Linked DNA regions of Nothobranchius furzeri. The protein of the gene in region 2 interacts with the protein of the main gene of each other region in a pairwise test. Links are inferred from orthologs where the notes say so. Each region holds a gene or a part of one and is shown on either strand. Other genes may lie near its edges. The genes, in order: adipor1a and appl1.

Region 1 (3,824 bases), about 20 Mb from region 2:
CTCTTATTTTTTATTTAAGCCTTTAACTTTCAGCCCAATAATTTGACACTTACCCATATGTCACACTTTCCAGGGAAAAAGCGTTCCGGGATCCTGGCTGCGTACAAGCCGGCGCCGGTGATATACATGGCTCCCATCAGATAAAACCAGCCCATTTGTCCCACTGTGGTGGCCTTTACAAAACCTTCCTCGATGGTGAAGTGCATGGTAGGAACAATGCCACTTAATCCAAGACCCATGAATACACCTAAGAGGAGGAATTACCGTACTAGAATTACTGCAAATATCTACGATTTGATCTCAAGATAAAATGAGCTGTTATTTATTTCACAAACAGTATCTAACCAATGTCCTCCTGGTACTCACTGAAGAAAAAAATTATCAACACATTAAATATAATCTGAAGCAAACACACAGATCACCCTCACCTGCCCTTGTAGGTCTGTGACGAGGTGTTGAGAACCGGTCCCACTGGGCAACTATGATGGCGGCGATGCCAAGAACACAAACAATGGTGAGGTAGATAAGTCGAGGCTGAGGGGAACAGTAGAACGAGTAGTACAACCAGGGTACGAAGGAACCCATGATTAGAAGTGCAATGCCCGAGTAGTCAAGCCTGAGGAGAGAAAGTCACATTGACAAATGCAGGGCCTTCAAAAGAATGCAAAACAGGTGATTTTTACCTTAACACAGAATGCTTTTCTGTTTCCTATTCTACACTTTAGATTTCCTGCACAAATTATTAAATTACTTAGATTTTGAAAATAGAGTAGAAACAGTTTATAAATGAATTATAAATGCTTATTTTTAAACTTAAAGGAGCAATATGTAAGAATGAAGTAAAAGCGACATCCTGAGGTCAAATTGGGGTACCGCAATACATTTTTCTAAACAAAAAGTTACTCTCTCACTCCTGTTCTGAGAGTTTCTGAGAGAACATTCTAGATGACAAGCAAAGATGGGTCATACACAGTAAACAGGTGTTAGCACTTATGGGTGTTTTATGGTAGGGAGCACTTACACACTTATTACGGTAGCATGTCTCCAGAATTAGAGGAATGCAGCTGTTTGATGTCCTACTGTTAGCTTGCCGTTATAGTTCTGAACGACTCGATAAAGGAAGTAAGATTATTTGCCTCTAATTCATTGTTAGCTCAATGTTAGCCTCTAGCCTTCTTCACACGTTAGAGTGTGGCTTCTTAGGGTGATAACTTCTGGGTTGCTCCTGTTTACTGGCTCAGTTGTTTTCTACAACTCGAGCTTTTTGCTAACGTTGAATTACAAATGAAGGTGCTGCAGTGTTAGATCGGCGCAGACGCTGCAATCTTGCGGGCTCGCAGATACTAAACAGTAACTATGTCCCTCTTCAACCATTAAAAAACTAAGATAACCCTCCAGCTGGCTCAGAATGAAATTTGTTTCAACGTAACCTTCCTTCCAACAAGACTGAGTCATTAGACCGTTCAGTGATTTTTTAAATAGAAGAATTATAACATATTGCTCCTTTAATCCAACCTGGAAAATTTCTAACAATTTCACACATTTCAAAACAGCATTCCAACACTGTGTTCAGAACAACACTCAATGCAGTCAGTGAAGGCAAACTAGAGGTCTTCATTGATGCCAGCAGCAAGATTCAGCTCAGTTCCTCTGCAACTTATCAGGAACAGCTCAAAAATGCAGAACTATGTGGGCTGACTGAACTTGCAGCTTTATCAACCTCTCAGTCAAAAACCCAGAAAAACTAGACGGAGCAGAAAAACCTTAAACATTTGTGTCGAGGAGAAACTCTGAGGCTAGAATTGCTGGTTTCCACTTAAGAATGGCAAAGTCAGACTGTAGAAGAATTAAAGACATGTGCTTGTAAAGGTTCGTCACAGCAAACCTAAATTACAGCTTGAACACAACATCAACAAAATTCCGACAAAATCCTGAGAACTCATGGATGAATCTTCTCGTTTATTTGTATGGTTTTATCAGAGCAGCTTGTGAGCGTGTAAAAAAAAAAATCATATTTTTAGACTGCATGAACCCTTACTTGGAGAACGTGCGTGACACTTTTTCCGAGTGGCAGTAGACAGTATGAAAAAGCCAAGAGAAGCTGAGGCAGAGCACAGCTCCCAGGAAGAACATCCCAAACACAACTTTCTCCTGCAGTGGTGCCATAAAGTACATGTTGGGGCGCAACATGGTTAAAGTGCCCAGACAAACAAACAAGATCCACCCTGAGGAAGACAAAATAACAGATTTGACTCGTTCCTGGAATTTGGGGAGAGAAAAAGCTAAATAAAATGAAATTTTAAACATTTAAATCGAGAAAAAAAAAATATATATATTTTTTTAATGTATTTATTTATTATTTTGTGCTCACCTAAGAGATGAGTCCAGATGTTTCCCGTCTCAGTGTGAATTCTGAAGATGCTTCCAAAGCAGGCCCTGAAGGAGGGCATAGGAGGTCGATGTCCATGTAGGAGGTAATCGTTGTCCTTCAGCCAGTCTGGCAGGACATGGAAGGGAATGACCCTCCAGCGACCCTCCCAAACCTGAACAGAAGAAAACCTCCATTATCAATCACCCATTAAAACAGGAGTCTGAGAAAACCAGTGTAAAAAAAGTGGAATTATAAGAATTTTGATTTTGAAAGGCCAAATATAATCTAGACATGCCTTTGAGCAGAGATCTCTCCCTTCCCAGACGACCGCTATCCAGCAGGTTTGACTGTTTTCCCTGCTTCAACACACCTGATTTTAATCAGCAAGTGATTTACAAAGCCTGATGAGCTGCTGAACAGGGGAATCAAGTGTGCTGGATTAGGGGAAACAACTAAAACATGCTCAATACTGGCCCTCGGGGAAGGGAGTTGGAGATCACTGCCTTAGAGGTATTACGGAAACACATTTCATATTTTTAGCTGTAAAGTTTTTTTTTTACTTATTGTTGGAACAATTTTATCCACCTGCCTTAAACTAGATCCTTTTGTAAAAACTGATACAATGCTGGACAATGAGTTGAGTATCAGGTGATTTAAAGTAGCCAATGCATTATTTAATAATGCAGAAAATGTCTCAGAGTGACATAAGCTCCACTTCTCACACCACAGCATCCCTGTCAACTTAATGTTGTTACAGTAAAGAAGAAATCATATTTATGATATTGTTTAATATACTAAAAATGCATAATTACCTTGTGTACAAACTCCTCCATTTTCTCCATGGCATGGTGAGCCTGAAGAGGTAAAGTCAGAACTTCTCCCACCTCATCATCATCCTCATCGTCATCCTCAGCCAGCATTGCTGCTCCCTTTAAATATATATCACAGGAGATTACTATTGCAGTGACACAGACAGCTACAAAAAATAAAAAATAAAAAAAACTTTTGCAAAAACTCCCATACCTCTGGATGGACACCTTTAGAGGGCGCCTGCCGCCCCCCTCCCTCCTCCAGCAGTGGCCCGAGCTCCATCAGCTCAACATCTGGGACGCTGCAGTCCTCAGAGATCCGGCAGTCTGACTTACTGGCAGACCCGTTTCGGCCTGACATAGGGAGACTGCCTGATGATCCACTCACAGCGTCTGTATTCTGCCTCAGATGGGACGTGGCAAACTTTTCCTGAAAAGCCAAAATGACAATCAGAGGTACAGGCCAAGCTAATGGAATATATTTCTACGGATCCTAAATTACATGTAGGTAGAAATAACTGAAATTATATGGACCTATGATGGTATTGATCAGCACATGATATTGTGTCTTATTTTGATTCTGGTAATAACACCTGGATAAAAAACAACAACTTGATTCAGAAAGTCTAAAATGTTCTCCCCCT
Region 2 (3,419 bases):
GTTGTTGATGGTGGCGATCCACTGTTGGAGCAGAGATCCAGTGTGAGGAAACAACAACAATCAACACAGAGACAATGACAACAGCGAAACATCTCACCTCCTCACATTCCCTCCTGCTCTCCGCCTGCAGAGTCACCACTCTGATCCAAAGCAACGAGAAAAGATCAAACCCCAGAAATCCAAAACCTCAAAGGCAACAGAAGACACCAAGAAAACTCACTTTTTGCCATCAAAGGAAGTGACCTGAAAGCAGAACCGGCGGTCATCTGAGTCGACGGCCATGACCGAGCAGTTGTCGAGGTCTGTGACCAGTCCCCCCGCAACCTCGCCTCGACCCTGCTGCATCAGGTTCCCTCCCTGAGTGAAGAAGTATTGACGTTCCCAGGATGACGACACCAGGCCGGTCTTACTGCCACCCAAGAGCCACAACACAGTTAGACTTGTAAATAAATCGTTCACAAAGACAGAACTAAAATCCTTTAATATCATTGGTCTGATTTGTCTGTTATTGACAGAATTATTTAAAAAATTATAAGAGACATTTAAGAAATGAAAGAGTTCTTATCTATAGCAGAAAAATGACAATAATGAAATCAGAAATAAAACTGCGATCCTGCACAGAACAGGATCTAAAGTCTCCAAATACTAACAAACTGTTGCTTTAAAAGACTCTTAAATAAATGTACAAATACACTTTATCACACGATCAAATTTTTATCAATTCATATTTAACAAGGTTTAAATAGACAAAAAAAAACATTTTGCAGCTCACTCACTTGCGAATGTAGAGATATCCCTGCTTCCTAGTTAGGCTGCGGACAACAGGTGAGTGGGCGGGGTCAGGGTCGCATGGTGTATACAGAGGATCACATGACCTTTCCATCTGCTGGATGGTCTGCTGCATCTGGCCCACTTCTTCCTCCATCTCCCGACGTACACTACACACACACATATTTATTTCTGACACTTTGGTTTTTATAAGAAACTTTTCTGAGAGGTTAAAGGTCAGTTGGACGCCTACTTCTGGACGCTGGTTCCTATCGTTCCCAGGAAGTCCTCCCACTGCTGGGTGAGATTTTCTGAGCCCAGCTTAAAGAAACTGATCTGCACAGATTAAAGACACGCCAGTAGGCAGATTATTCATTCCGCCCCGCAAGTGAGCTCTCCCTATGGGTTGTGGCCTTATTACCGGTATATATAATCACATACACAGGAATCAGGATGAAATTTCACTCTTTTGCGAAAAAAAAGTTTCATAGGGAGGTAAATAAACACTCGTGTTGAATTATGGTTTCAAAACTGGTTGTTTTTTCTGACTTCTCCGGTTTAAATGAGTGTGTGTGTGTGTGTGTACCTGAGCCTGCATGTAGCCCAGCAGCGGCTCCAGCAGCGCCGTCTTCTTCTTGTACTGCAGCGTGTTCAGAGCACAGAAGTAGTGCATCATGGTCTGGTGCTGTTTCTTGCGGGAGGTGTAGAGGTCCTCCACCAACTCCGACCGCACCTGCAACAACAGCATGGTCCTCATATTTCAGGAAGACGGATAACATTATTATTTGCTGAGATAATCTTGTTTAGTAACGATAATCATGTTGCTTTCAGGTAGCTGAACCTTGGGAGAAACCTGAACCTTGAATCAAACGTGGGAAGGTCAGGAACCCCTCATCACTTCCCTCCTTTAATCCCTTTGAAATGTAGGTTTTACGTCTGTGTTGGAAGGTTTTTATAAAAACTATCTAAAAGAACTTGTTAGGCAGAAACTGAATTTGAGTGGAAGCAACACGATGGTATACGGTAACATTGAAGGGTAGGTTGGATAATTCACAAACACATAGAAATGGGTTCTATTGGCAAATAATAGTAAAATTTTTCTTTGAATTTTATAAAAATAACTTTAAATTCAAATAAAAGTTTATTTTTATTCTTTAAACATGCTTAAAAAGATGTTTTGTGTTAAATTCTGACAACGTGTGTAAAAACATCACTTATTTAAATGAAAACGTCAGGGAGAACACATTTATATATGTTTTTTTTATTTAAATAAATTATAAATCCAACTTCCCCACCTTTTCGTTGTCCTTCCTCTTAGACAGGCGACTGTATCGGTTAATGGCTGTGTCATGATCTGCAGTAAAAAAGTAAACACTTTCATTTCCACTTTTACCTTTTAGATTAAAGTCATGACTTTAGGCTCCATAAACGTGAACGCAATTACTCCATAAAGGGATAATTGGGAGAATCCCACAGACATGTTTAAACAAGAGCAGGATGACCTCAGCTGGTGAAAGTTGTTTAAACTATATTGTATAAAGTAATTCCTGTGAGGAAAATGTTGAATAATACATAGTTAAATAATTCTAAAGTAACATTTCATCCATTTATCAAAGGTGTGGAACACTGATTTATTTTATACATTTGCAGTGGTCTCTAGAAGGAATTAATACCTTGGAAGTCTTACTCTAAGGAAAAAAGCACCTGTGTGCCCTTTTCAGGAACTAGAAGTGAGCCACATCACCTGAGCTGAACACAGCAGGATCTACAGTGGTGTGAAAAACTATTTGCCCCCTTCCTGATTTCTTATTCTTTTGCATGTTTGTCACACAAAATGTTTCTGATCATCAAACACATTTAACCATTAGTCAAAGATAACACAAGTAAACACAAAATGCAGTTTTGAAATGATGGTTTTTATTATTTAGGGAGAGAACAAAATCCAAACCTTCATTGCCCTGTGTGAATAAGTAATTGTGTTAGATGGAAGTGTCCATGAATGTTTAGTGACAGTGTGACGTAGATCTGTCAGGATTTTCTAATCCTAGAGTTTCACCGTCTGTTTTCTACCAGAAGCCAAAGCAGGAGATAGGTGTAGGGGACTAATTTCATGTTCAGCCTGCATTATAATGACAAATAACCATTAAAAATGGTTTTCAGTGTTCCACACCTTTAAAGGAAACACTAAGTGGGACTATGTTTAACATAAACTGAGGTTGCCGTGTTGGATCAGTCAAAGAAGAGATGACCTCTGGGACTTCTGGGAGAGTGAGAAGACACAAACAGATGAACTCACCATCACTGGCTATCTGGAAGACTTCTTTCAGGGTCAGGATCTCTGAAGTGAAAGAAAAAATGCATAAGGGATCTTTTTCTTTTTTTTCCCTTTTTCTGCCATGTTGGCTTCTGTCTATTTTTCACAACCTTAACACAAATGATGTAACCATAGTTGTTTTTTAAATCATCTTCCAACAGTAATGTTTAAACTCCTCTATGCTTTTCCCTGATCTAATATGGAATGCAAACCAAAACACAAACCAGGTTTCTAAATCTGCCAAAAGACCTCCAGGAGCAAAAATAGCTCCTCTGACAAGCGTGATGCTAATGCTAACATGCTAATAAAACTCAACAGTGCCTGTAGCAGGTGGCTC

The links.
Region 1: the proteins of appl1 (region 2) and adipor1a interact in binary tests that used the Homo sapiens proteins (3 or more experiments, as listed by UniProt). The link is inferred for Nothobranchius furzeri from reciprocal best matches to the Homo sapiens genes APPL1 and ADIPOR1.

What each region holds. Positions count from the first base shown.
Region 1 is NC_091743.1:48,917,706-48,921,529, forward strand, and holds part of adipor1a (adiponectin receptor protein 1a), read right to left. Parts: intron 3,611-3,824; 5' UTR 3,542-3,610; coding exon 3,395-3,541; intron 3,301-3,394; coding exon 3,184-3,300; intron 2,544-3,183; coding exon 2,372-2,543; intron 2,226-2,371; coding exon 2,039-2,225; intron 617-2,038; coding exon 429-616; intron 248-428; coding exon 54-247; intron 1-53. UniProt on the Homo sapiens protein: Receptor for ADIPOQ, an essential hormone secreted by adipocytes that regulates glucose and lipid metabolism. Required for normal glucose and fat homeostasis and for maintaining a normal body weight.
Region 2 is NC_091743.1:68,844,623-68,848,041, reverse strand, and holds part of appl1 (DCC-interacting protein 13-alpha), read right to left. Parts: intron 3,107-3,419; coding exon 3,065-3,106; intron 2,123-3,064; coding exon 2,064-2,122; intron 1,502-2,063; coding exon 1,355-1,501; intron 1,105-1,354; coding exon 1,022-1,104; intron 939-1,021; coding exon 777-938; intron 410-776; coding exon 221-409; intron 141-220; coding exon 98-140; intron 22-97; coding exon 1-21. UniProt on the Homo sapiens protein: Multifunctional adapter protein that binds to various membrane receptors, nuclear factors and signaling proteins to regulate many processes, such as cell proliferation, immune response, endosomal trafficking and cell metabolism.